Caenorhabditis elegans: one gene and its partner. The protein of the gene in region 1 interacts with the protein of each later gene in a pairwise test. Each region holds a gene or a part of one and is shown on either strand. Other genes may lie near its edges.

Region 1 (4,668 bases):
TAGAATTTATTATTTCGTTTTCATATAATTAATCTTATTTATTATTTTCCGGGTATGTCCACAAGTCATTCAAAACATTTTTCCATTCTATAATTCAGCTGTGTTACTTTTTTTATGTATATCCTATGATCCTATATCATGTTCCCATTTTTTTTGTCCGTTCAATAGGTTCTCCCAACCATATCAATTGTATTCCTGTAACTTGAGTTTTAGGCATATCCCAGCCGATTACAAATATTGTTTTATGGAAGAGTTAGTCTTGAAACTTATTTTCCCGCTTTTCGTACCCATTAGAATTTCAATTTTTGGTTTTTCAGTTCGAACCCCTTCTGATGAAGTTTCAATCGTCTTAAAATACGCTTAATCTGATTATATTTGGTAATATATTCCGTGTATAGATTTTTACTTTGTTAGAAATATGAAAGCAGCTTCTCAAATATTATTTCAGAATGTTTATTCTACGATTATCAAGGCAGACAGTTTTGTCATTTCGTAATCTGAGTATTGGTAGGTGAGCAGAATTTTCTATATTTCCAAAATTTTATTGATCTCTCAGTTCTGAAGTGGCAGCTCCTTCTGCATTTGCAAATGATAGGTGGTCAGTGTTAGTTGTGCATCCAAAGGTTCGATGGGGATCTGGATCAGCTTCAGTATTGAAACAAGCAGATCGACAACTTGAAGAAGCTGTTGCACTTGTCGATAATCTTCCAAATATGAATGCTGTTGAGTAGGTTTTGGAATGATATTAATTGATATAACTCATCTAATTTCAGCAGTCTTATCATGCCAGTCGACTACAATACAAAAAGGAAAGCTGTTTGGGCGTCTGGAAATTTAGAAAAGTTGATTGCTCGACGAGAAGCTGCACGTGCCACTGCATTAATGGTGAATGTTGATGCATTGAGCCCATCGCAGCAACAAGAACTCTACCGAATTTTCGAAGTTCCTATTTTTGATCGATACAACATTGTTTTGGCAACTTTCAAACAATTTGCAAAAACTGAAGAAGCTCGGATTCAGATTGCTATTGCCGAAATTCCGTACATCAAACATCGAATTCATGCTCTTTCATCGAAACGATTGCATTCACGTCCGGATATTCTACACATTGACTCACACTATTCCGATATCGATGGCGATCTGAATGAAATTCTTCGAAAACGAGAGCAAGACCTACGTAAAGAGCTAAAAGATGTGACTCGGAAAAATGTTGGACAACTCGGTGTGAGAAATTCATCAGACGCCGTTGTTGCAGTTGTCGGATACACGAATTCTGGAAAAACTAGTTTAGTGAAAAAACTGACTGGAGCCGCATCCCTGACGCCGAAGGATCAGTTGTTTGCCACATTGGACACCACACGCCACTTGGCAAAGTTACCTTCTGGTCGATCAGCTGTGTTTACTGATACAATCGGATTTTTGAGCGATTTGCCAATGCATTTGATTGCGGCATTCGAAGCTACGCTGGCTCATGTGAAATCTGCGGTGAGTCATGAGTCATTGAACAAAAAGTTTTAATTCGTTTTCGAAATTCAAATTCGTTATAAAAATCGTGATATTTATTTTTTGTAGGATGTGATAATCCACCTTCGAGACATTTCCAATCCGGACTGGAAAGCACAAGAAGAAGATGTTCTGGCAACACTTAAATCCATTGGAGTTACAGATTATGTACTCAACGAAAGGATAATTTCTGTTGATAACAAGGTGATATTTAGAAAAGTTTTCTTCCTTTTCCTAATTTTTATTGTTCAGATCGACAAAGAATCTGCATTTCCCACTTCCGAATCAAACAATTCCGTACGAATTTCGTGTAAAACAGGTGATGGTATGCATGAACTCATTGATGTTATCAACGATAAAGTTACAATGGTTACAAAGTGCAAAACGATTCGACTTCGTCTGGATGCTCGATCACCAGTAATTGAATGGCTTTATCATAACGAATTAGTGGTCATTGAGCCCACCATCGATGGAAATTATTTAATTTTTGACGTTGTTATGAACGAATCGGAAATCGGTCGATTCCGTAAAAAATTTGCTCATTTAAAAAAGAAGAACTCACAATCTGTTTCTCTATAAAATAGTAATAAATATTTTTTATTTATTTTACAACTGCTTATTTGTTTTATTCATCCGGTCTGCACCCGTTAAATTAATTCTTGATTCTTTTAAAAATGTAGTAATTTTTATTATTTTTATTATTTTATTTATTATTTTCAGAATGACCGATTCAAAAGACGGTCATGTGAAAGTCGTGTTGCGTCGTCTTCCAAAATACATGACGGAGCATGAAGTTCTTGAACAGATTAGTCCACTACCAGAAGAAGTCATTGGAACCTATTTTCATCCTGCTAACTTTTCGTGTGTTCTAAAAATTTGATGTTTTGCTTCTAAAGTCATAAACATTTTTTCAGGTTCGACCGATGTGCTTATGCAACGCTTACAGTAAATTTTTCCGAATACTGTGATTCAATGATGGAATTTGAACGGCGATTCGATGGATACATTTTTGTCGATTCTCGTGGAAATGATTCTGCTGCAGTTGTTGAAGCTGCTTCCAATCAGAACTTTGCAAAATGTGATCGTAATCGAATGAAGGAAGATACACGTGTTGGAGCTATTCTCACTGATAAATACTATTTGGATTTCTGTAAGAAGCTTGAAGAAGAAAGAGCTATTCCAATTCTGACTCTGGAACAACAAATTCGGAAACTTAATCAGCCTGATGATGCTAGAACTCGTTAGTATTTGATTTTTCTTAAAATATTAAAACATCATTATTATTATTATAGAAATCGATAAAATGGAAACACCACTTGTCAAGTATTTCTTCGAAAAAGAAACTGGAAAGCGGAGAGATTACGATGCTCGCAGACAGAGACGTGACGAAAAGAGAGCTGAGAAGCGTGATAAAGTTGATAAATTTGAAAAGCATAAGAATGTTCTGGATATCCTTATGAAGCCCAGCGTTCCGATGGCTTCAACGTCTGCAACCACGTCGAAGAAGGATTTGAAGAAGGAAAAACCTATGACAGAAAAAGAAAAAGAACGGTGGGAGAAGCAGGACGCAAAAAGAAAAGAACGAAATATGATTCGCAAACAAAAGTTTCTTGATGAGAAGAAGAAGAAACATGAAGAGCGGGAACAAGATGGACCACGTGTTCCAAGAGATAAAAAAAAGGAACGTCTCGCAAAACCTCCCCGTCCATCTCCAGCTAAAACTGTTGGCGAGCAACAAGGCGAGGATTGGATTAAGAAATTAACTGATCCGAAGTCAGCTCCAATGAAAAAGAAACACGATGTAAGTTTCATTTTTCATTTCTCAAAATTTTTATAAGTTCTGAGCTTGTTTGAAATACGAATTAAAATGATCAGACATCATATTAAAGTACATACTTTTTAAAACTTTGTCTGGTCAAAAAAAATGAAAATTGCTCTGTTTGATATTAATAACTTTGAGGTTGACCAAAAAGTTGTTTTCTACAAATTATATTCAAAAAATCTAAATAATCTGAATTTTTTGAAAAATTGACATTTTGCCAAAACTTGAACCGTAGGTTCTAGGAACTATTTTACTGAGATTTGATGAAATAGTTCACTTTTTTCTGAATAAAAAAAAGTTACTAAACTCTTTAAAAGCTTTCAGTCACCACCAAACTGAATAAGGAAACCGATACACGGCCACGAACGGCACCATCTTCTACAAAACTCCCAACTCGTGCAACTACGTCCAATCATCCAAAACGTCCATCCACTGCACCGAATCATTAGCAATTGTTGTTAAAGATTAATGTTGATTATAAGAGGAGTAAATGGATTTTTTTTGTTTGATTGTGAAACCGTCATAATCGTTTTCTATGTGCTACATTTCTAATATGTTCACTTATTCCATTCTCTGTATTTTCGATTATCAAACATTCGAAACTCATCTTATGATTTTCTACCCTCCATTATTACAGCTTATGTACTCGTTTTTTCCCTTTTTCCTTACTCGCTTTATAGTTTTGGAAAATAAATTATAAATACATTTTTTGTGTTATGCTATTTCATTCTAACGGGAAGTCCCTGTGGGAATGTCTCCTCATTTTCTTGACAGCCTCCGTCAATTCTTCACTAAAGTGTTGTTTAGGTGACCGGAGGACGAGACCATCTGCGCGTACAAAATGGTAAGGAATACCAATTAGAATGTGCTCGGAGAGACATAAGCACAAGTTTCTTCCGCGCGGATAATTAGGGTTGACTTTTTCTATTTACGAACAAAGCAATCCGATAATTAGCATAATAACTTGAGAATTTCAGCCTTTTCTTGCTCTCGAACTGAAGTGTCAATTGAAAGGTATCACTGATCTTCGTCCGGATGACACTGATTCGTTTCATTGGCACATGAAACTTAAGTGTACTAATTGTGGTGAAGCTCCAGATCACTGGCAGTATGTAGTGCTCAATGTGAGATATTTCTAGAATGTTTTCTTTTAAGAAACAAATCTATTTTAGGAGATGCTTGATGTTCCAGGAAGTCGTGGTGAGGCAAATCTTGTGGAAAAATGCAAGCTGTGTGGAAGAGTCAACACTTTGAGTGAGTGAATCTTAAAATATCTGGGATCAAAGTTTTGCGAGAAAATCAAATTAAGTATATATAAACATTTTCAGCCATTGTCGAGGATA
Region 2 (5,373 bases), on another chromosome or scaffold:
TCGCATTTTGATTTTTCCCGAGCCTTTCATGAAGAACTCGCGTAGAATTTCCAGCATAGCACAAATCATTCGAATTCGGTGCAGGTCTCGCCACGAATTTTCTGGTTCTGGATATGAAATCAGTTGATAGAGAATCTTCAAGACTAGATCTTCATCACACAGCTCAAAACTGTAGAGCTCTGCAAGATAAACGGCGGCAGAATGAGCCCATTGATTGTAGACTCCAGGATTTTCCAAGGATATTCTGGAAATAACTCTTATGCTTGCTGCTTGAACTGGAAACGAGAGATGCGCGGCACATTTACAAAACGATATTCTCTCATTGTCGTGCCGAAATATTTTTTTCGGAAATTTTAATAGAAATAAAGATAAACATGTATAGTTTCTAAGAATAATGTTACTTTCAATTGAAAGTTTTGGGAAGTTGCTCAAAAACTAACACAACCGTACGATGCAGTATTAATATTTGAATCAGGGGTGTGCGGCAAATCTCAAAATTTGTCGAGCTCGGCAAGTTCGGCAAATTCGGCAAATTTGCCGCACACCCCTGATTTGAATCAATGGGCAATGCCTCGAAACTTTTCATTGAGAGCAATTTTTTTCAGAAAGTACAAAAAAAGTTATATATATATTTCTGTGTAAATGTGCCGCACATCTCTATCGAAAATCGTTCATACCGAATAGTTTCAATTGTTGAATCAATTACAGCCATTCCAATCCATTGAAGATGTACCAAATTACAGAGACCAGCAATCGCAGATGCCACGTGTTGAAGATTTTCAATGGGAAGAAGCCACGTGGAGGAGAGATAACGAATTGCATAATCAGCAACTTCTGGATCATACCATTCAAGCCTCCGAAGACATTTTAAGAAAACATCAACGGTTGATTCATTGATATCCAGAATTATGTGACGAATAAATCGTTTCATTGGAGTATCCTCTTCGTCTAGCTTCAAACGAAGACGTTCTTCTTTTGAATCTTCTGGTGGAAGGCAGGTGAAATACGCATTGTCTATGAGCATCTGAAATATCGAAATTGAATTAATATTATGATGTAGTTCATCTAAACATACCGCTTGTCTTTGATCTTTCATTCGTTCTCGTTTCGCCTTCACAACTTCCAATAATCTCTTCATTTTTGCATGTGATTCAGTATGTCTATACAGATAAAGACCACTAGATTCCATGAATGTCGCTGTCATTTCTACAGAATGTCCACGTAAATCATACACAAGTTGTCTCAAACAACTGAGTCCTTCAGCACGAGAAATTACTCCAAACTTCATCAGTTCAGCTATCATCATCACGCAAACCATCTTTGATTCCACTTTGATTATAGCAGTAGCTGACGATGGTTTCTGTTGCAAAAATCCGCGGAATTTCTCGAGTAGTTGAGTTACGATTTCAGTTGTCAAATCAGGCATCACATTCTCGAGAGTAGCGACAAGTCGGGCATAAAATGGAACAACATCGATCCGAGACGGAGGTGGATCGATCATAAGCTTCACAAGCCTCTTGCGACAACCCTTATTATTCAGATTCGAAACAAAATAAATAGCTGCTTGGTCAGTTGAGTACTTGCTGACAAGATGATCCAAATCAAGTACAAAACTTTGCCATTTGCTGACTCCTCGTTCTTCGGATGCATCCACAGCTTCTTTGAGAAGAGCTTGAAGTTGAGAATCTTCTGGTGTCGTCTCCTTTTCAGACTCTCCACGTTGTAATGATGATCTCTTCGCATCCATTGCTCCGGATTCATTGATATTTTCCATATCGACATCTTCAATCCTTTCAGCCATCTTCGCTTTGCTGAGAGTTCTCTGTTCAGATTCTTTATAAAGATCCTTGGGAACCATCTGTCGAAGATCGATAAGATCCTCGTAGAATGCCTTCGTCTCTTCATCACTCCACAGCTTGATTGCTCCTTCTGCAAGTTTGCGTCCCATCTGAAATATAGAATAAGTTCAAGTTTTTGGTCGAATCAAAAAACCTCCAAGTTGGCAGCTTCATCCTCTTCATCGTCACTAGCTTCCTCTTTTAGCGGTTTCATTTCCACACCGATTGCAGACGATATCTCTATAGCCTAAAATGAGGGGTTTTCTCAAATTTTCCTATTGGGTAATTAATTTTTGTACCATTTTCCGCAGAGAATCCAATTCAGACTGAAGATCATTCAAAGTTGTCTTTTCCTCATCACCAGCGTCTCCACGGCTTCTTTCCTGTCGTTTAACTCTCTTCATCGCCTTATTTCTTGCCGAACACGTTTTCTCGGTTTTCGAATAAAGTGAATCGTAGTATGATTTGAAGAGCTCACGAATCGACTTTTTCTGTTCAACTGAGAGAGCTGATGACTCAGGGAGTTCTTCTGAAAACATTGATAATGAATATACGCTCCTGATTAAAAAGATAACAACCGTCTTGAATCTCGACCGTTTCAGCATCATCCATTGGAATTGGCACAATATTTGCAATTTGCCATCCAACAGTTCTAGATACTGTAGCCAATAATCCAACATTGACAAAATCAGTCTTATCTGTTTGAATCAAATAACTTAATACAGCACCGAGAACTTGAAGTCCTTCCTTTTCATTGAAAACTCCACACAGGCAAAGTTCAGCGAGGAAGCTGGAAATATTTTATTTATTCTCAGATGAAAACTGTCTTATTAATGCAATCTAACATAATATCCACTCTCAATTTTGCAACATTTGCAATTTTGTCACTCTTTTTAACAGGAAGAACTTTTTTGAATTCCCCAGCCATCTGTTCACTGAAGTTTGAATATTTCGCAGAAATTGCAAGGCAGAGCTCTGTTACTTTCGGAATATCGGATAACTTCAATTTTGTCTCTATAATTCCCTGAAAAATTATCCGATTTTCAATGGAATTCGAAATCAAGAACCCACCGACGCCATTTCCTCAACAAATTTGCTTAAATTCAATTTCGATAATTCTTCAATTAATTGTGGAACAGTGGCCGCACTGAGAAGCTTCACTTTTTTCATAAAACTCGTCGTCTTTTTCAATGTTGAATCTAAACTTCGCAATTCTTTTTCGTTATCGAGCAAAGTTTCTCGAATCTCGACCATTTGAAGACGACTTGTTTCTTGATATTTTACACGCTTTTTCAGCTCTTCCAGCCATGATGTCTCGACTTTTCGCCGCATCTGCATAGACTGTGATAGAGAATCGTCATTTTACAAAATAAAGTGTACACTCAAGTATATAATTGAACATTCCAACATTCTATGAAACAACCAAGAAGTGAAATAATTATCCATGTCTCATTTCCTAATTAAAAAGAAATAAGAATTTCCAAATTGTAACATATTAAAACGCGGGGCGAACAGCCATTAAATATCAAAAAGGATACAGAAAAAAAAAACAATGAAAGTCTCAAATTCAGAAATCTATTAATTAATAAAAATTGTGTAGGAAGATCAAAGCATGATATTTTGATAGTTGAACAGAACAGAGGTAAAATAAGACGTTCGCGTTGGAAAATCATGAGAACAAGATAATAAATAACCGAGACCTCGGAGAACAGAGAAAAAAGTAAAGTGATACACTAGATTATAAGGAACAATGCTCATTTGTCTGGAAAATCGAAAGAACTGGGATTTTGGCAGGAACAGAAAAAAGGAAGTCAGAAGTGAAAAGAAAAAAAAGAAGATAATTAATATCCACTTCGATGATCTCCAGCTCCAGCTCCCCATCCTCCATAAGCACTGTGATGAGACGGTTGTTGTTGCTGAGCCCATGTTGGCTGTGAGTCTCTAGGTTCTCTTTGACGATCGTAAGCTCCTCCAGCAGATGCTCCATACGAATATGATTCGCCTGATCCATATGCAGAATGAGCAGCTGTGGGATATGTGGATGCAGGTTCTGCAGAATACGCAGACTGTGCTTGTGAAGCATAATAAGCATCCCAGCTTGCAGCATAACCTCCGGCAGCACTGCTCTGATCATAACTCGGACCAGTAGATGCTGCTCCATAACTTCCCCACGTATCAGGAGCCCGGCCATGCGCAGCTGGTGGTGCACGAATTGGAGCACTGCGTGGTGGGATGCCTCGTGGTTCATATTTGGGTTCTATATCGTATCCTCGTGGTTCCCGTGGGCCATATGGATCCCTTGATTCTCTGTATGATGGTGGCATAGCTTGAGGACCTGCCCTGTAGCCAGAGTCTCGTTGTGGTGGCCCTCCGCCACGTCTTCCTCCGTTAAGAATCGGATCAGGCGCTGGAGCAGCTGATGCATTCGTGCCACTTGTTTCTTTCCAAAGAAGACGACGCATTGGACCAGGCGCTCCACGATTATCAAACAGTTCGACATATCTACAAATAACAATAATTATTCCATGTTCTGATTATAAATTTCAAATTACCGTCTTCCCATTCTTTGATTGTTACGCGAGAGAGCGACTTGAAGATCGTTGTAATTGTCAAATTCCGCAATAGCATCTCCAGATGGACGACCAGTTTCGTTGATTCCTATTTTGACTGAATGGCATCGAAGTGGAGAAAAAAAAGCAGCGATAGCATGATCATCAGCATCATAAGGAAGACCACGCATATACACCTGAAAAATAAAATAATTTATTTTACAATCGCAGAAAAATACTCATACCCTCAGCGGATCATCGCCTCCTCTTCCATAATCACTGCGACCTCCTTGATCGTGTCCACCATTGTATCCATAATCCCGACGTCCGCCATAACTTCCACGATTGTAGTCATCATAACCACGATCATAGCTGCTGTCGCCGTATCTTCCACCACCACCTCGTCTTCCGTGGTCATATCCTGAATCCACGGACATCAGTGGGCGAATTCCAGTTCTTTCGTAAGATGCCGAGTATTCTGTAAAATAAAAATTGAAAATATTTATTATCAAGATTTGTTATATCAATAAATAGTAAACTAAATGAGCATTTCAAGAGACAATTTTTAAAATGTTGAAATTTGATGTGCACCGTAACAGAAATGTGCGCAGATTTGCTTTTCAAATATTTCGACATGTTTTAATAAAGGCTCATTCAGATGGGTCTTGGCGCGAAAATGAGTATATGGTAGTTTTTATTTAATTTTTGCTGCTGTTTCTTGCATTTTTGAATTAAATCACTTCTTTTCTTGCGAATTTTGTCTCGTTTTCTATTTTTTATCAGAAAAATGAGAAAAAGGAAGGGCAAGATTGGCGAAAAACTGAATAATTTCATTGAGAAATGAAAGAAAAAAAAAAAAAACAGAAATGCGAAAATCTACCGTATTGCGCACCGAGGCCCATCAGAATAAACCGGTGCGCCTTTAAGAAGATTTTGTGAAATTGCGATGAATTACACCTTTTTTGGTACATCATGTCTTCTTCTGT

The links.
Region 2: the proteins of smg-4 (region 1) and smg-3 interact in a two-hybrid assay, tested with the Caenorhabditis elegans proteins (one study listed by BioGRID).

Annotation. Positions count from the first base shown.
Region 1 is NC_003283.11:9,775,299-9,779,966, reverse strand, and holds smg-4 (UPF3 domain-containing protein), read left to right. Parts: upstream 1-2,221; 5' UTR 2,222-2,224; coding exon 2,225-2,364; intron 2,365-2,417; coding exon 2,418-2,743; intron 2,744-2,795; coding exon 2,796-3,304; intron 3,305-3,642; coding exon 3,643-3,774; 3' UTR 3,775-4,032; downstream 4,033-4,668. Other genes in the region: F46B6.5 (LisH domain-containing protein), read left to right, coding at 1-3; F46B6.4 (Hflx-type G domain-containing protein), read left to right, coding at 450-511, 557-727, 774-1,485, 1,573-1,707, 1,756-2,082; UPF0587 protein F46B6.12, read left to right, coding at 4,167-4,169, 4,303-4,449, 4,498-4,579, 4,654-4,668.
Region 2 is NC_003282.8:6,369,918-6,375,290, forward strand, and holds the start of smg-3 (MIF4G domain-containing protein), read right to left. Parts: upstream 3,173-5,373; 5' UTR 3,171-3,172; coding exon 2,910-3,170; intron 2,863-2,909; coding exon 2,684-2,862; intron 2,629-2,683; coding exon 2,417-2,628; intron 2,368-2,416; coding exon 2,138-2,367; intron 2,086-2,137; coding exon 1,993-2,085; intron 1,949-1,992; coding exon 1,076-1,948; intron 1,025-1,075; coding exon 678-1,024; intron 245-677; coding exon 1-244. Other genes in the region: hrpf-2 (RRM domain-containing protein), read right to left, coding at 3,680-4,340, 4,391-4,584, 4,633-4,865.